3 linked regions of the Drosophila melanogaster genome follow. The protein of the gene in region 3 interacts with the protein of the main gene of each other region in a pairwise test. Each region holds a gene or a part of one and is shown on either strand. Other genes may lie near its edges.

Region 1 (6,306 bases), 4.2 Mb from region 3:
TAAAAGTTTGAACAAACTACTTGAGTTTTTAGGCAAATTTTCGCCCCGAACTAGAACGTAAAACGTAGCCAACTACTTTCCACTTTACCTGGCGGCGTGCCACGCCTCCACCTATTGCCGTACCGCCCCACCGCCACGCCCACTACAAATCGCTGGGCCCATTAGAGGCTTGGCAAAAACGCCGCTAAATGCGACGTGAATTATTTAAGGCACGTGTGTTGTGCAAAATGCGGCAAATTCGACAGTGAAATGCATTTATTATTGAAGATATTGTCGGAGTCTGCGGGCGGATGAAAAATAAAAGGGGTGTTGGGTGCTGAGGATGTAAGATGAGGCGGCATCCTTTGGGCCAATTATGTGGGTGGCTCTTGGGCGAAACGAAAACGGGGCAGCTATACGTTTTGATAAACGTTTTACAGTTTGAGAACTTTTCTTTTCTGGGCTGGCACGTGATTGGAATTACGCGTGTTCCGCCCTTGGCCCTCAGCCAGAAATTTACACAAATCCACAAAACACTGGATGCCAGGAAGCCAGGATGGCAGGATGGCTGGATGGATGGTGGCTTTATGGGACGACTCCATGTGCGGCAATGTGTATGTGTGTGTGTATTTGAAACATGTTTGCCAGTTTGGCAATCGACAAATGTTGCACACACTGTGAGAATTAGCATAATTTAGTTTTCGCGCTCGGAGCGTTCTCGAATCTCGAATCCGTCGCATCGCATCACGATTATCGCAATTGATTGAGTGCAAAGCACTTCAGATGGAATAAATCTCCTTTCATTCGGAAATTACAATCGCATTTTTCTCGAAATTGATATTGATGAAATGTATACCACTCGGTTATATAACGTGAGTAGTATCCATTTCAGTTTCGCATTGAATGAGCCCTAATTTAATTTTAATTCATTAATCCTTCAGAAATACATGGAAGTTTCTAGACTACACAAATTGGAATATATATGCTAAGTGAATTTATTTCCAACCAAAATATACAAATTAAATATTATGTATATCTTAGTGATGTATTTATTTGCGGAGTAGTAGAAAATGGAATTACAAAAAGGTTTTTCAATAGTAGGGGCATGCGGTATAGCTAGTGATTTTACATCTGACGATTATTTTAGGGTCTTCAAATTGCACCTGAGAAGAAACCTATATCAAATCAAGAAAAAAAAACAAGTGAAATCTTGTTAATTTTGTTCAATTATATTGAAGTATTTGATCTAGTAAGTTAATATTAATTAGTGCCCAAAAAAAAAACAAAGTGGTGCAGGCTTTTTCTCAGGTGTGTCTAGGGCTTAACTGCCCCTATTTGCTCAGTCTTCAATTGGCAGCTGGCTCTCCGGCACCATGGACATGGAGAATCATCTCAAAGGGATCCCACTCGAGATCGGACTCGTGCTTGACCCGACGGCGAATGGGCTGCGAGTGCTGCGGATGGTGCATGGCCAAAGTCGGATGGTGTCCCTCCTGATGGTGGTGCTGCACCAATCCGATTGGCATGTCCTGGGCGTGCTCCACCAATCCTGCTGGCGGCTGTGGTGGACGGTAGTGGTGCAAGTGCTGTGACGGATGGTGCTGCGTCTGCTGGTGGTGCTGCTGCTCGCTAACGATCTCCTGGATCTGTTCGCGTGTCTGCTCCCTCTCATCGACCTTCTTTAGCAGAATTTCCCGCATGAAGGACATTCGATCGAAGTGTTCCCACGTGGAGCGGAAGGATTGGTGGGAGTATTGGGCGTGGCGCTCCTTCTGCAGTTCGTCTACGTAGCGCTGCTTGATGATTGACCAGCGCGTTTGCATAAGAGCTGCAAAGTATAAGATGTTTTGGGAGGGTTGGGGAACTTTTTATAATTCACATTCCTTTAAGCTACTTAAGCTTATTTTAATACCAATTCGTCAGGACATTAGTAACATCCTTTTAACACAATATTAAATTAGTTTGCTACATGCTATATATTTCGATGGATATAATCTACTTAGACGGGACTAACTTACTCGGTGTCAGACCCATCTCCATGGCCGCTTCCTTCCAAACCGCTGAGGTTCTACTCTGACCCTGTCCTTTCTCACTCCGCTGGCGCCCAGCCCACAACGATGGACGCGTCTTGATGGCATCGATGATACGTCCGCGCATGCTATTGTGCAACGAACTGGGGCGGCCCAACTTTCGCGGCGGCGTGGCCACCGTCTCTGAGGCCACAGTGGCCGGTGGAGGTACCAGCCCCGTGAAAGCGGTATATGTCATGCCATGACCTTGACTATGGGGCGGCTGAGTGATTAGATGCGGCAGTTGAGGGGCGGTGGGTGTGGTTGCGGTCTGCAGCCAGCTGAAGCTACCACTGGGTCGTCCGCGACCATGGGTGGCGGTGGGTAATGGCGGAGGCGCCACTGGGGCAGCAGGTTCCTCCCCCACAGTTGCTGCTTCAGTGGCTGTGGATGGGGCATCGGAGGAGGTGCCTCCGCCACTGCCGCCGCTCGACTGAGCGCCTACGATCTTTGCCACCGTAATGTTATACATGAAGGACATGGGCTCGAAGTGCTCCCACTTGGTGTTGAATCGATCCTTGTGGAGGATCTGGCGGTGGACCAAGTTGTGATAGTGGTACTTCATCTGGCTCCAGATCGATTGCAGCTTAACTGAAAATTATAAATAAATATGGTAAACATTTTCTTTTTTAAAGAATATTAATCGTGAATCGTGATTATTGAAACTTCCAAGAAATAGATATTTCAAATATTGAGATTATGGCTTAAGAGGCCTAAGAGTGCGAAGTTTAGTCTTTTCATTCATGAATATTGTAATATCTTGTGGCACGGTGCAGATAACTAAGCTTACATTAAGCCACCCAATTGCATTCATCAAAGTACATTCCACCCGTCAATTATTTCTACTGCGAGTGCTTCAATTTGCATTATATAGTGGCGTAGGCTCCTCTATTATTCCAAACGGACAGAAACCTTTACTTTCTATCCGAAATGCCCTTTGTCTAATTTTAGCCAAGTGCAGTGACGTAATTTAAGAAAATAATGAACCCTTTAGGAATATTGATTCAACGTAGATTTTTGTTATTGAGCAGTGAACTTTAAAATGTTCAGGTTGGACCAACTTACTTTAAATAAAGTGATTTTCAGCCCCCTTTCAAAAGCACATGCCTGCGCCACTGAATGCGCCTCGAAAGAGCTGGCGAAAGGAGAGTGCGAAAGGCAGCAACAAATGGCAACACTGCTAGCTAGCTGGCGAATGGAGCAGTGGCGTAGAGTGTGAGGGGTGCTTATGTCGGAAAGCGGAATGGTTCGTAGGGACGGGTACATTCTTGGTGGGCTCACCTGTCGGCACATGACCGCCGAACTGCTCGGCGATCTCTGTCCACATGGGCGATGTGACGCTGCGGCACATGTGCAGCTTGTTGTTGGAGTCCCAGATCTCCGGATATTTCTTGATCGCCTTCAAGAGCTGGGCTCGATTTACGAACGGATCCTCCTTGGGCATGGCCACAGCGAAACTGGTCACACTGGCACTGAATGATACCGTACCGCGGCAATGATTCCAAAGGCGATGTGAAACTGCGCCGGCGGAGCACAACTGCGTCCTTTGACATCAATTATCGGCGAATAACTGAAAGTAGAGTTTGCAAAAATATGCGAATTGAAAATGAAAAGGCACAGCGATTGAGGAAAATAGAGAAAACGATGACGGCGACGGCGACGCCAGCTTTTCGTTGTTGTTGCCCCGATGCCGAAGAGATTGGAAAGGCAGCGAAAGCGTACACGAGATGAGATACACAAAATGCAGGCGAGAAGAGAGAACAGGGAGAATGTGCAAAAAAAAAAAAAGACAGAAAAAGGAAAGAAGAGTCAGCAGCGACGACGTCAGTTTTACATACAAAAGTCTCCGCGTGTAGGTGCTTGTATCTGTGTGAGTGAGTAAGTGTGTAAGATGGCAGGGCGAAAAAGCAAAACAGACACAAGCAACAAGACCAAAGAGGAGACAGACAAAAAGCAACAACATAGCGCAGCAGCGGCAGAAGCAGCGAAGCTCAGAGCTGCAAAAACCGAAAAACAACAGAGAAGAAAAGCACTGAAAGAATAAGAGGAAGATGGAGGAGGCGGAAAAAAGCAGCGGGCAGGCTGCCCAAAAGAAAGGCAACGATAAACAAGCTACCTCTCTTTCATTGGGGGTCTCCTCTCTCTCCCTCTCTCTAACTTGGAGCCACCGAAAACGAGAGGGTGTTGTCGGGGAAGGGGTGAGTGGCGGACGAGCATTAGAAGCAGCGAAAAGCGAAACAAAAGAGCAGCGAAGAGTGCAGAGCAAAATGCAGGTCCGCAAAACGGAGAGCAGAGAAATCCACGATGACCGAAGTCGGTTGTTGGTCGAAGGGGCTGTGTGCGGGTGTGAGGGGGAGCAGCGAAAGAGAGAGGGAGGCAGGCAGAGGAGACCCGGAGTCCGAAGCCCGGCTGTCTAAACCGGAGACCCAGCAACAACAGCACCAACAACTGCAACAACCAGGGCAAACAACAACTGCATCACGAACACGCAACAAAGTGACGAAGCAACCGACGGACAGTGGGACGCATTGGAGCTGGCACAGTGGGGCCAACGACGGGTGGGGGATAGTAACGCGGCAGTAATGGTTTATCTGGCTAGAAAGTTGTTAAGAACCCCATCTTTAAGTATAAGAGTGAATACGGTTACAAGAGATTTAAAATGTCTATTAATCTTTATCAAAACAAATTCTACAAGCTTTAATTATATTTTATCGTGAAATATTCCATTTTTAACATTTTGGTCATAAAATATGATATGGCGCCATAAGATAGGCAACACATTTTTCGCTTATAAGGGGTAGATTACGTATACGTCCTGTTGTCTTTATTGCATTAGTAAAACTTATTTACATCTTGTTTTTTAATTTTCTGCTAACCACTTAAAATTTATAAAAATGTTAAATACAAATAACTTTAAATGTCACTCTTAAGTAAACTGGGCGTATACGTGATCACCTAATTGCATGCAGAAGATGGCACATTATCAAGAATAAATAAAAAAAAAAAAATGTTTAAATTTATATTCGCTGACTTATAAATTTACTTAGCCGTTTTTTCGCCAAACTGAGTTGGCATTGTGCAAAGAAGTGGCATCACTGGTGGGTGGACTGTTCGGTCGCTTGCTCGGGTTCGTCGTTGGTCGTTTTGGGCGCTGTGAGTGTGTTTGTGCGAGTGTACGTGCAATGAACCCGCAACTACAACTGCACACAACTGCAGCACGCACACTCGCACACCCGCCCACACACACGCACGCCGACTTCATTAGTATTGGCAACGATTCGTAGGCGCTGCAGCGCGCTGCGTTCATTTACTCAGTGCCCCAGACCCCGATGCCGAGCAGCGACCCACAGTGCTGCCCCCGACCACCCACCGCACACCTTGCCACACCACTTGGGCACCACCACCACCCGCCGCCTCACCCTACCCCCTTAGATATCCGCAATTCAGCGTGCGAGAACGAGACTGCAAAACAAACAAGATTCGGCATAAATCAGAGGTGGTCAACTATTTACATAGTGGGGATGTTTGTATTCGGGAGCGGATTTGTGTTACTTAAAATAAACCAAAGAGCACCAATTACAGCGATTTCAAAACTAACAAATAAAAAAACCAAGGGAAAGTTTGGGTTTAATGCTTACAACACTTTATTGGACCACTGCCAAATGGTTGATCAAAGAGTTACTGACCTATCGCATATAGAAACAAGTTTTTCTTATGAACAAACGCATGTTTTTTTAACTGACGCCCGAATAATATACAGCTTAAGATATGAATATTAACGCTTGAAATCAAATTGTTATGCTAAAACTATAAAAAGATCGTAAACTCGGTTTATGGACAAGACATTTAAGTACCCAATATTTACACGCTACTCGTTTTAAGACACCAATTAGAAACTTTGATATCGTAGCAAAAAAAAAAAAAAAATCAACCCCCACATGGCGATTAATTCGGGGTCATAAAAAAATTGAAATAGCTGAAAGAGCACACACACATTTAGTATGAAGATATATCATCTAAAAACATCGAAGATGAAAGTCACTCAAGAATCAATTCGATTAGTGCCAATTGCTGCGTATACGATGTACGACTGTACGAAATGGGCCCTATTTGCTGGCATAATTTAGCAATGAATTGGGGTCGGATTGGGGATGGGCCACTTATCCGTGCCACCGCTTAATTATTCAACGACAATGGGCAATTGTCAATGGCGACTCTATCAATCCGGGATGGCCACTCCACTGTGCCACATCTACGT
Region 2 (7,524 bases), on a different chromosome or scaffold from region 3:
CTTCCGGCACATCGGCGTAGTCAGCTGGGGGCAGTATTCATTTAGAGCCACTGCCTTATGGGGCTACTGTCCTGCTCAGTCGCCGGTCTGCTTTCTTGCTGGTTGCAGCAGTTGCAGTTGCAGTTCTCTTTCTGCAGATAAATGCCCACATAGTAATCCCTGGGATTCGCCCCCAGCACCTTGAAACCAACGGGCCATGCCCAGGGGCCTTCAATTATTATATTCGATCAGCAAAGCCATAATCAGTGGGAGCAGGTTGAAAAACTACAACCGAAGTCGGGTTTCGCGAGCGAACTCTCAAGCGGCATAAGCACCCAGTTTTAAGAAGCGATGATCCTATTCCGATCCTGATCCGACAAGCTCCCGCAGCCGTTCCTGGGACTTTTGGATGCGAAATCAGCAGTTTGAAGGTCCTCGATACATTTTGGGGAAAAGTGGTAGGTTTTGCAATTGTGCAGAGCTAAACTTTGCGAATTACTAAATCAATGTTTTCTGCTCTCATTTCTTAAAACGTACAATATTATTTCCTACGATATACTATATTAGTATTTAAATTATGTTTCTCATTCTCTAGCACCAATTATTCTATTGCTTTACCTATTCCATATTAATCAGTTGAGCTAATCTTACGGTATAGATTAGATTCCCACATATTTAATTTAATAAATTTGCAACAGCAAATACTTGTTTTTTAATTGTTTTTTTTATTTTCACATCTACTGGCATGCCAAGGTCATCGGCGGCCTTTCGCACTTTGTTTGGCGGACATTCCAAACTGGTTAGCGGTAGAAAGCCATATTTCCCATTTGAATTTACTAGTAGGCGGGCGACAACATGGGCTCCCCAGCCAAACCGCGGAGCACATTATGGGCAGCAATGGTGGACATGTCGGCACGGGTGCGCTTCGTGGCGGATCCAATATGGGGCAGGACAACTAAAAGAACACATCAAGTGGTTAGTTCAAGATACGATTACACAAACCAAGATAACAATGTTTTAATAAATCAACAAAAGAAGGGAATTATAGAGGTCAACAAGGACGCAGAAATTAGATAAAACATGGAAAGAATAAACGTTACCCTATTTATTTGTAACCTTCAAGAAACCTTAAAGATTCCATTAATTTCAAAATACTTTTAGTCATTGTCAACCACTGAAGAGATAAGTCAAAATCTTTATATTGATAAGGGGCCAGAAATACGAGTATTTGCTAGGTGTGGGCCTGAGGACTGATATCAATAAACTACAACATTATTTTCATTTTCCCACTCACCAACATTGTCAAGCGTCAGCAGCTTGTCCTTGGGCGACAATGGTTCCGGATCCGTGACGTCGAGTCCGGCGGAAAAGATTCGGTTGGCTTTCAAAGCCTCGTAGAGGTCATCCTGGTTGACGATTTCTGAGGAATAAAATAAATAGTTAAAATCGGTCGAGAATCCCAATTAATACTGGTAACTTACTGCCCCTGGCAATGTTAACCAGCACAGCAGTCTGCTTCATCTTGTTGAAGGCGGTGGCATTAAAGACGCCCTGTGTGTCCTTCGTCAAAGGAGAAGCGATCACTACGAAGTCACTCTCGGCCAGAAGGGTATCGAAGTCAACTTTCTTGGCATTGAACTCCTCCTCGATCTCCTTGTGAACACGACGACGGGTGGTGTACAGCACCTTGTCAATGTCGAATCCAGACAAACGCTTGGCAATAGCCTGACCAATGCCTCCAAAGCCGTAGAATCCCACGGTGGAATCACGAATATCCTGGCCCAACAGCCAGTTAAGATGGTAGTTTTCCCACTTGTCACTTTTAGAACGCAAAAGATACAAATTAAGAAATTGAAAGATATATGAATATTTCCAAAATATATAATATACTTGTAGATACTCGAGATACTGATAAATGCCTGTTACTAAGCTAAGATGAAGATAAAAAAAACTTTTTTTTATTGCACCGCCACCTAGCGGCGGTTACATAAACTGCTCGTACCTTTTGTTTGTAGATAAATCGAAAGTCAATACTTTAGAATTTTACATTATGCATGTGAGGAGCCAAAACCTATTGATGATAATGCTTTGTCCACTTGTGAGCGCTATAGAGCAAAAGTGCAAGCGACAGACGAGCGGACAGGCGGTATTCTTAAGAACCGGCTTGCAATTTTAATCGAGAATTCATGCGTATACATTTCACGGCCACACTAAGTTGAAAATAAAGTGTCCCTAGTTTAGCTTAATTATAATAATAATTATGACAATTATAATTTCGGTTTACTCTATTTTTGTCATTGCTCAAATTAATTCTGTAAGTATATGAATCATCACAAACACAACTAACCAACTAGTGGTACTCACTTGTCGATGGTCTTGCGACCCTCGTGAAAACGGCGACTGGCGGCGATCAGGAGACCCACTGCCAAATCGGCCACGGCGGTGTTGAGAACGGTGGGCGTGTGTCCCAGCGGGATCTTACGTCTCTTTACCTCCGGCACATCGACGTAGTCGATTCCCGCCGACATGGTGGAGATGGATTTCAGCTGGGGACCGGCAGCATCGAGGGCCTCGGCATTGAGGGGTTCGTGTCCACCCCAGAGAACGCCATCCACGCCACGGATTTTCTCCAGCAGCTCCGCCCGGTTGATGGGAACACTCTGCACCTGGACGATCTCGCAGTTCTCCTTCAGCAGATCAATGCCCTCCTGGGGAACCTCGGGATGTGTCACCAGGACCTTGAAAGCCTTGCCAGCGGACATGGTGCGATTCTGGCTTTGATTTCTGCTGCCCCTGCGTGGGAGGGAGGCATTACTACCGGCGATCAGCAAGGCCACAATCAGTGGCAGCAGGGAGTTGGTGGCAATCGATCTCATCTCGAAGTATTGCGATCGAAGTCGTGTTTCGCGAGCGACTGAACTCTCAAGCGGCATACGCACCCAGCTTTAAGGAGCGGCGAGAACGGAAAGCCGCTGATCCGACTGCTCCGACCCACGATCGCAGCCGATAAACCAATGAACCTGTTTAGCATTATAATCCGCGCTCTAAATCTCTCCCTATATATGTATGTACGTATGTATGTATGTCTGTAGGCGTTCAAGCCGCCGAGCAGCTGATGTGAGTCTCAGTCTCTCCTACGGCGTATGTATAAGACGCACAACTGGTTTGCTGGTTCGAGAACTAAGGTATAATATTGGAGTTTTATCGAAGTGGATTCAATAATCAGGAACGGTGCAAGATTATTTCTGGGTTAATAACAATAACATTTGGCAAAAATAAACATTCTAAAATTAAGTTTAATTTTACTTAACATGTGGAGCGTAATGAAAAAATTACGAAACATAGATGAATTTATCAAAGACTAAGAGCCAATTATTTTGGCTAAAAAACAGAGACAATTATTTCAGTGGAAATACGATTATATACTGCGGTCAATAATTTCGAGTAGCTAAAATACATCTATCTCCCATGTTTTTTAAAGTACTTAAATTTCGCGGTTATACGGTCGCTATCTCCGCACAGACGCACGAGATTTTTATGGCGAAATTCCGCGAGCAAAAACTTTCAGATATGTTCGCATCTAATCATTTTTCCACGACTCATTCCACTCAACACTTTTGACAATTTGATGGTTTTTTAGCATTGTTTGTTTGTTTGTGGGAGGGAATGGAAAAACCCACAGTAATATTTTGATATTAATTACACTCAATGTCACCAAAGAACAAACCGTCACTCTTAAAAACTCTCTTAACCAAACTGTTTACGACACCAAATGTCACAAGAGAACTACTTTATTATATTATTATTAATTTGTTCTTTACACTATGCTACACTCTGCCTCCAAACGCACCCGACGTGAAAATTTAACTAAAACTTTTTTCCATTGGCTATGCAATAAAAGCTCGCAATCCGATTTCATTTTTATGTTCTCTTATTTAGACTTTATACTTTCTCTTACCGTGAGATCTATAGAACTAGAATACTTTTCAGCTTTGCGTTTGCCGCACGACTGAAGTATTGGCCCCAAAGCTTAAGCCTTATATAGAACTCATATCGTATCGCAAATGAATTATCAATTCCCAAAAAAGAGTTAATACGAGAGTAATTTTCAACATATTAATTCGGTTTACATTTTATGGAATGGTGCACAGATATTTTTGAAGTCAATTGTATAAATTCGTTAAAATAAAATAACATATATGAAATATTTAAAACAATATGCGATCTAACAAACTTTTATTATCGTAAAAATACACCCCTTAAAGGCCGGAAACTCACTAAAATCTCAGTTAAAAATGTAGTTCACTCTTTAACATAATATTGGGGTTATATCAACCAGATTCCAGTACTATCAGCGATCAGCGATTCCCCCTCCGATTAGACCATCATTGGGCATCCCTTTCTGTCGTTGCACACTGCGCTTTGCCGCTACCATCAGTCCGTCCCTTTCCAGCTGCTTATCTCGAAAGGCTCCTTATCGGTGCGAACGAGACAGAGACGGAACTCTTTGGGAGAGTGAGCAGTTGGGAAAGCTGTGCGCCTGCTCGAAATACCAGTTGGGGACTTTTCCCATGTGCTCGCATGCAATTTCCAACTGGAATGGGCACCACCGCAGTTGGAGCCACCGGAGCAGTGGAGCCATTTGGCCATTTAGCCGTGGTGCCATGGAGCCAAAGCACTGCAGTCGGTTGGAACGTGGAACCTACACGACCAGCACTATTTCGCAGTTAAGTACGTTTTTTTGTGAGCGGATCTGCTCAAATTTTGTCCGCAGAACAGCAGGCGCACAGCGTTGGCCAACGCACACTGCGCTTTTTCGTCTGTGTGAAAGCGGCGGCAAGAACCGTTCGCGTTGGCGTTAGCGTCGCTGGCAGTGATGCGCGAATTAACTAGCTAGAACTTCCGACAAAAGGCACAGAAACTTAAAACAAAATACTAAATTACTTTACGTCTACGTGTAAGGAGTAATCAAATATTTTACTGGTTAGAACTGAATATATTCATAGACATGATAATACATATACATATTTATAAGATATTCCAAATGTTAAAAACAATAAAATTATTGATATTGTTACTATACGAAAATTGACTAATCTAAATTTTACTGATTTACGATTTAAGTATAGAACTATTTTAACATAGTTTTAACCATAATACCGCTCTAGTGAAATATCGAAACGGACAGTTTGGCTTTTTGTTTGCCTAGATTGGCTTCACTGAAAGTTGTGCACTTCCTCTTACCTTTGAGATTTGGCCCAGACACTGCACTCTGCCTAATTGAAAGCGAAACGAAAAACCAACAAAATATTAGCGCTTTGTGCGAGGGTGGATTTTTTTGTTGTCGTGACGCGGCGCAGCGTCTGTGCCTGCTTTTTCTTCGTCCCCCACAACGGTTTACACATTTTCTTCGTGCCTTGTTCTTTTGTTTCGCGGCCATTGTGCAGCAGAGTGCCGCACATTGGTGCTCTTCTCGCTTTTATGCTTTCCTGTTACCAAAACACGATGCGTCATTTTGACTGACGTAACCGGAGACAACATTCCAATTGGAGACAGCTGTCTATCAGACGCGACCGTCGTCGTCGTTACGTCTGCTGCCGCCGGCATTGCCAGCGCTAAACTGCGGTTTGGTGAACAAGTAATCAGCAACTGATGACAGCAGACAGACGCCAACGAGAGTGTGTGCGGCGGACAGAGAAGAGAAAATGCGGAGAGATAGAGATAGTGGAGGCGGACAGTGAAAGACGGGGTATAACGGAAAAAATGGAATTTGAGAAGCGCATCTCTCGATCTCTCCACTGAACATATGAAAATACAATGTACATATGTACATATGTATGTAAATAATATTTATAAGTTGGGATATTAGAAAGCCTAACACTAGGTCTTCGTTTTAGGCTAATAAATTACTACAGTTTCGATATAATCGGAAACTGAAAATGAAAACGTTTACTTAGTTCAGTTCCCAACTAAGAACAAAGTGGGCATACTTTTAGGCACTTCTAAGCACTATTCCTGATAATGCTTAATGCAATAAAAGTTAATGTGTCACCAAAAATACACATTGTAGTACTTGTTCACATTTCTTAAAAAGTAATTTACAAACATTTTAACTTAGAACTTAGAACCTTGCTAATTGCATTCACAAGGTAAGATTGGGATTGCCTTCGCACAGCACTCAGCGGGTTAAAGTCAACTGTCAAGGGCAAGTTGCAGACACCTAAGCAGCATCCACAAACATATCCGTACTGCTTGCGCCGCATTCTGCTTGCTTCATATTTGGCGACACCAGCAGCGGGAATCGCAAATGGCGGCCGAGCGACAAAGCTGCAAAGCGAGGCGTCGCGCACTCCGCGCAGGCGCTTTTGGAGCGCCCAACTCCACTCAACGGCCTGTCGAGAAGGCCAAGATGAAAAAAAAGTGGGACGTGCCGGGCCACAAAAAAAGTGGCCAACCGTCACCGATTTTTATGGTGTAGGCTCCCTAAAATTGACGCGCAACATTGAGGCAGGTCCCTCTACGCGATATAACGGAACAGGCGCCCAGAGTCGCCAGCAGCGAGATAACCCGACGGAAGACAAAAAGCGAGAGCGAGCTGTGTCTGTGTGTCTGCGCGTGTGGTGGTGGGCCCCAAGTCGATGGCGGTGCCTACACACGGCACAGCTCTATGAATATAACGAGCACGAGAGCGGGAGCGGGAGTGAGCTCCACCACGAGCTCTAGAAGAGAGAGAGACAAGTAGAGTTGGTGAGCGTGGGAGTTGATGTGCACTTGCATATGTGCAAGTACAGTGCGTCCTCTGTAACAGTAAGCACTAAACTGAAAAGAGACTAGCAAACTAGTAAAGTACCACTGTAGTCATTCCCCAGATTTCAGTTGCTCATGGAAGTGTGTACTTGTGTATATACATATATACCAACATACTTAGGTAGCTAATCCAGCTCTGTTGGCTTTGTAATGATGTTAACATTGACTGACGTCAGGCACGGGTCTTAATTTACATGTCTCTGCTGCTTGGTTTTTGTGTTGCAGCAGTCCCCGTTGCTTACCACACATGATAATTATGGGAATGCAAGTGTTTTGTTTTCGCTGCACTTGCTTGCGGTTAAGAATTGGGAACACGTCCAGGGTCACTGCAGAGGGGTGGGGGGGGGTGGGGTGTTAAATTGACCCATGCTCGCGGCATATGTACATACATATGTATGTTTCTTAAGCTCAAACAAAAAACCTGTTTTTGCGTTGGGCACCTTTTTATTCGATTTGGTGGAAGTCTAGACCATATTGTGTTTCAATGTTTATATTTTACTATGGGGCTTCGCACTCAATCTTGATTATTCTTATTTCACTGAAGAAAGTATTGTCCACAATTTTGATGTACGCTACACACGATAGTTGTGATGCTAGGTATTTCTGGTATTTAAAAATGTAATGCAGAGCACTGCATAGTTTGTCGGTCAAAAGCGTGCAATGAGTAGATTTGATTGCATTCCTGATAAAATACAATGTAATGTTAGTCCGTATTGGATCTATAACTTTTACCAAATG
Region 3 (5,870 bases):
CATGATGATTGCTCTCTGGTACAACAGGCACACTGGTCCCAGGTGGATGCACTGAGTCGACTGTGGGTCATGGACATCGGATTTCCCGGCAGCACGTGCTCACCCCGTTTGTTTGTCTTCGATCTGATGCGTAACAACGCGGAGCTATTGAGAATCGATTGTGGACACCATATAGGTGCTAATGACACCCACTTTCTGACTGTCCAAATGGGACCCAAGAGTCCGGGATGCGAGCACGAGCGCCATATTTACTTCATCCTTGGAAAGGTACCAGAAATTCTAGCCTACGACATCCTGGAGCAGACGTGGCACCGCCTATCCTTGGAGAGCAATAAGTACGAGAATATGAATCAATCGTTTCCCATCAAGCCAGTGGATTTCATCTTCGGAATTCAAGGGGAACTCATACTCTCCGACCAGGATGGTGATCTATACAGTACGGTGGACAGACTGGAAATTGAAGGCAAAAGCGAATTAGCAAGCAAACCAATTAACAATAGCATTAAACTCACACATTTGGGCAGTCTTCTGGGCAGCAGTCGCAGCATGATCATCGACAATTTCGGAACATTGTACTATGTTATCCCCAAATTCGGAGCTGTCGTACGATGTGCCAAACTAGCCAACATCACAGCCGAGGGCAACGAAATCATATATATCACATCGAAGAACATTCAGCAGATTTTCTTCACCTCCAATGATGCATTATGGGTCCTAAGTGATCGGGTCTTGAATGCGAAGGACATGTGCTTTCCTAGCTTATAACATTTAGTTTGTTAATATAAATATTAAAATTATATTTTACTTGATTCAAACACTGCTGGCCTGGTGTATATGCTGCTTTCTTTATTATTCGTTTCATCTAGCTTGGTGATGTATTTCGTTTGGTTTGATAATAATGCTATGAATAGTTAATAGACCAAAAAACAATTTAATTAATGGCTAACAGTTTGCTTATTCAGATAAGCCATTAAGGCCTGGAGCCGCTTCTTGATGTTCTTCTGATCGTCCAGAGTGCAGCCAAGCAAAACGCTCTCGAACTTCTTGTCGACCGGCCCAACATCGGCCTCGGGCACGGTGTCCATGTGTCCGGATGGATCCATTGAGCTGCTGCAGCAGGCGTTTAAGTAAAACTGGCATCGTTGGCGTCCGATCACGGGATCACCCATCTTGATCATGCTGTCAATCAATACATTTATCTGGCTAAGGGAATCCTCCTGAGAGTTGTCCCGAACAGTGCGCACACGCAGCTCCACGGTGGCCAAGCGAGAGCTCACCCGTTGTAGGTACAAAATGATCTCCTCTCGTTCAGCTGCAAAAGAAGGTGGTACAACATTAGCTCACAGTCAACTATGAATAACCCTTTACTTAGTTTGTCATCAGAAACCATTACTTCCGACTTCGAAATAATACACATTTTAGTAAAGCTATGAACAATGAGGGTTCAAATTAGTTTTAAGAATCACTGTCACTTACCTTCGCTCATGTTCTGCATCATTTCGTTGCTCTTGATCAGATCCATGGACATCAGAAGGTAGTCTTTCTTCTCCTGCAGGTTGAGTGCATCCTTGCGCAGCTTCTCCACACGTGCATCCAAACTATCCAGTATGGTGACAAATCTGCGAGTCACTCAAAGGTTAGTCACGCTCAGTGGTTATTATAAATTCAAGATTTACCTCTCGCTGGCGTTAAATGGTCTGTCACATGTCGGTTAAGTGTGATTGCGGTTCAGTGGTTAAGTCATGAAACGAGACAAGCAACGTTAGATTGTTAGATCGCTCTGCTACAGATCGACTGACCACTTATAGAGCTACGAAATTATAACCAGAATATGTCTACAAGAAAAGGCGCTCGCACACAAAGCTCTTTTGAGAGTTGTGTGGGCGTTCGCGGCAGATACTTTAAGCTATCACCATTACTATTATGGAACAAAAGATTCGAATGAAGCTGGTAGCTGGTAGTGTGAAGAAATAATAGATAAGAAACGTATAACTTTTGTTTCGCTACGAGGTTGTGTGAATATAATCGGTGGTATTGTTTTGGTTTCGTGTCTGATTTGGTTTTAGTTATGATGGAATAACAACCTGTCCAGAGCTCTACTATCGTCGACGAGTCCGTAGGAGCTGTTCCCGCCATTGCCACCACCTCCGGATCCGGATGGGGATGAGGAGGCCATGGCATCGGCCCTCAGGTCTTGCAAATGATCAAAATTCATGGATGCCTCCGAGTGGTAATCGCTGGGCGAGATCTGATGCAGCTGCTGGTGATAAGTACTATGGTGATGATGATGAGTGTCACTGGTTTCCTGCGTTGTTGGCGCATCAACTTCCATATCCTGCGGCTGCTCCAGATTTGATTTAAACCTGTCGCCCTCCAAAAAGCCGGTCAAGTGTTTGTCACCCAAGATGGTTGGATAGCTGCCTACTGTTTCGTTTTGGGTTTTGGTTTTATCTTATTTATTTTTTTTTAGCCGCTTTGCTGGCTACTTTTTTTGGAATGTCTTAAGCTTTTTTTTTCGAGTGGGTGTCGAAGTGTTTGATGCTGTTGCTTAAGCTTAATTTTATCTGTTTTTGCTTTGAAGCTGCAATAAGAGAGAAGAGGAAGCGTGAATGCGCAGAATTCAATTACCTATCTGAATGTGGGCTGTGAAAAGAGCCTTCGGTCCAGGAGGCGTCAAAGCCATCATTGGACTCGGGCGTATCGGCTTCTATATCTTCCGGATATCGGTTTATTATCTCCGCCTCCTGGGCGGGTTGCGGCGGCGGTGGCGGCGGTGTTGTGTCCGACTCGCAGCGACGCCGTTTCCGAAAAATACCTCGAAAATTCTCAAACATTCTCGGCTGAAATCACCAATTTTCTAGAAGATTACGCCTAATTCTTCTTCTTTTCTTGTGGCAACCGATGTCTAGGAGAATCCCCGGGTGGCTGTTTTGAACTTGAATAAATTACCTGCCGCCCGAGACTTGAGGCTCCGGTTTTAATGCACCTTTGGCCCGATGCAAAAATATTGTTGATTTTTCGAGTTGGGCAGTTTGAGTTAGATGACGGGAAATGCTTGTGTTTCCAGATAATTCGTAGACACCGATTAATCTAACTTTGTTAGCTTCATTTTTGAGCACCTGGGTTGTTTACTTCGAGGGTCAATCGAATATTTCGCTTTACTTAAATGAAGATAAGTATAAATATGATTAATTTAACATTATATTGTGGGATTTGTATGACCGTGTCTGACTACCGCAAAAAAGAACAGTGGCCATATAGTCAACTTTATCGAAACCGATTCATCGAACATTGTTGTCGAAAGTTAGTGTGTACACACATTAGTTCTGGTTTTCATCTGTAATCGGCGGGAGTTTTAAAAGTAGTAGTACTTTTAAAAGAAACCTCTCTAAAAGCATTTGGTATCTCCCAAAGTTCAAAAAATTGTATGCTACATATATTAAAACTTCTATTTTATTAGTGGTGCCAAATTTAAATCTCGCACACACTGAGCCGTGCGCGACCATTGACAACTTTTGGTGGCAATATCGAAGAAGTAATAGAAAGGACATTGCTGCAGGCTGGCGTGTCCTTTGACGCAGTAGATAAAGAACTCGCATCGCTGCATATGGGGATACAGATGCTGTCCGTAGGCGGGGCAGTGAATGAGATCACTCGAAATGGCGGTGCCACCGGATGGGAAACCGGAATTTCCATTCGTTGGCATATCCTCCTGACCACCTACGGTGCACTGGGCTCTCTCCGGAATATCGCATTTACCCGTCATTGCATTCCAGTGCAATTGCGAGCTGCACTCCTGCAAGATCGCCTGTCCATAGTAGCAAATATAGTACTTTCTGCAACTACTCGAGCTGCCGACATATACAATCCTGTCGCTGGATTGTTGTTGCTCCACCAACGTGGAGCAATAAGTGGCGGCATCCGTGACCATGTTATTCGGATCTCCATCACCATTTCCGCCATCGAATGGAGGAGTCTCTATGGGATCCGTTTCATTTCTGCACTTTACATTTGTCGCCGAATCGCAGAGTCTGCTCTCCGAATTGAAGAGCATCGTTGGTGGGCAGGAAGCCAGGACTGCATCCCCGTTCTCAACGCACAGGTAAAACATGTGGCAGTCCTCCGCATGCTCCACAAACTCACCAACCAAATGATTGGCACATATTCTACTACCACTCTGCCTGATGGTCACCGAGTTTGTGGGCTTCGATGGTCTCCAGGTTAATTGCGCTGTGGCCAGCAAGCAGTTCACGATCAAATAGAAAGCTGGAAACCAATAAATTCTCATCATACTATTAGTTTTGAGAATATCCATCTTACTAACCCGTATTAAGCATCATCGTTTTTTCTATCGTCAGACTCCAGTAGAGCGCAGTTATATTCTAATTTCGTAATGCCCGGTGAACTTGGCATATATGTGATACATTCGGCGCCAAGATACAGCCGCATATGTGGCTCAGTATCAGAAAATTAACATTTTCAATTGCTTGTAGGAAGAAGTTGATAAGACTCCTGTATTTTGTTTTGCCAAAAAAGAAATATGGCTCCCTTTCCTCGCAATCAATCGATATCGTATCTCGAAATGGCAAGCAGATACAACTTTAATGCTGGATTTTTAATTTTAAAGTCTGGTGAAAAGGAAGCCGAGATTAGCTAGGAAATTGATTAGGTGATATCACGATGACATATGTTGTCCTTGTGAGGAAAATCGTATCATATCGGTCAAATTACTATGTTTCAAATCGAAGGTTGGCCTATTTTGGCAAATGTTTCGATTCAAGGTCTTCATTTTGCAGAGATATGAAAGAATTGCTTGATATCACCTGATAAATTTAGGAAAGAGTCAAGGTCGGCCGTGTTGCTTGATAGTTTTACAAAGAAGTCTTATTGATTACCAGTATTTAGGTTTATTCCATATGTAAACATACAACACTTTATGTTCAATATTTTCAATTTTTCCACAAAGCTCGTTAATTAACTAAATGTAAAATTTCGTTTTTTTTTTTTAATAAATATTATTATGTGTATTTAATAAATTTTCATTTGCATTTGCAGCTTGTTGTAGCATTTGGCTTGACCTAGTGCTACACAGGATCGCTTCTCGTAGTCCCATCCGTAGAAGAAAGGACACTGCTGGACCATCAAATAGCCAGAGCGACACTGGTAAAAGTAATTGCAGTTGTCGGAATGCGGATAAACATCGATTACATGTCGCTTGCACTGCTCCCTGGGATTATAAGTCATGGCCTGTAAATAAATAATTTATTATACAAAAATTATAAGATATGAAGTACCATAGGTTAACCCACCAAACACCTAACGTTTTCGGGATGATCGCATTTTCCGGTGAGTGAATTAAAGTGCAAACTGGTGGCACAACTCATGGGAAGTGCCACACCGCGATAGCAAATGTAATAATCTGAACAGGAGTTCTGATTTGGCAGCAATGCGATACGACTCTGATTATCCAGTTGTGGGCACACATTGGTCACAATAATCTCTATAGCAGGCGATACGGAAGTCGTACTGCTGGCTCCACTTTGATTGACTGATGGTCGTAATGTGACCACTGCCGATGGGGCTAATGTGGTGATTACAACTGTGGAAATCGTACTGGACTCCGAGGTAATCTCCGTTGAGGAGCTGTCGGTAGTGTTTTCCCTTTGCACCTCCGATCCCGTGCGACAGTCGATATCGCCCATGGGCTCACACATTTCCATATCTTGACTAAAGTATTCGCCATCCTCGCATTCACCATCGTATGACTCATCGCCGTTGCAGAAGATATAATGTGCGCAACTCTTTGGCGAAGTAACAAAGGATAGGTTGTTACCATCGTTACACTCATCGAAAACATCCGCATGACTGGT

What was found. Proteins that work in one complex are often made in the same cells at the same time.
Region 1: the proteins of CG7945 (region 3) and CG6163 interact in a two-hybrid assay, tested with the Drosophila melanogaster proteins (one large-scale study listed by BioGRID).
Region 2: the proteins of CG7945 (region 3) and CG9331 interact in a two-hybrid assay, tested with the Drosophila melanogaster proteins (one large-scale study listed by BioGRID).

Annotation. Positions count from the first base shown.
Region 1 is NT_037436.4:11,361,280-11,367,585, forward strand, and holds CG6163 (uncharacterized protein), read right to left. Parts: upstream 3,607-6,306; 5' UTR 3,493-3,606; coding exon 3,330-3,492; intron 2,640-3,329; coding exon 1,998-2,639; intron 1,808-1,997; coding exon 1,326-1,807; 3' UTR 707-1,325; downstream 1-706.
Region 2 is NT_033779.5:20,820,907-20,828,430, reverse strand, and holds CG9331 (uncharacterized protein), read right to left. Parts: upstream 4,790-7,524; 5' UTR 4,316-4,789; intron 3,998-4,315; exon of another isoform or gene 3,707-3,997; intron 3,160-3,706; 5' UTR 3,011-3,159; coding exon 2,919-3,010; exon of another isoform or gene 2,856-2,918; coding exon of another isoform or gene 2,764-2,855; coding exon 2,344-2,763; intron 1,799-2,343; coding exon 1,461-1,798; intron 1,400-1,460; coding exon 1,274-1,399; intron 935-1,273; coding exon 816-934; 3' UTR 707-815; downstream 1-706.
Region 3 is NT_037436.4:15,520,884-15,526,753, forward strand, and holds CG7945 (uncharacterized protein), read right to left. Parts: upstream 3,255-5,870; 5' UTR 2,950-3,254; exon of another isoform or gene 2,835-2,949; coding exon of another isoform or gene 2,629-2,834; intron 2,582-2,628; 5' UTR 2,333-2,581; coding exon 2,085-2,332; intron 1,698-2,084; coding exon 1,677-1,697; intron 1,620-1,676; coding exon 1,477-1,619; intron 1,313-1,476; coding exon 936-1,312; 3' UTR 828-935; downstream 1-827. Other genes in the region: yellow-k, read left to right, coding at 1-765; CG33986 (uncharacterized protein), read right to left, coding at 3,449-4,266, 4,325-4,340; CG33985 (uncharacterized protein), read right to left, coding at 5,029-5,247, 5,310-5,870.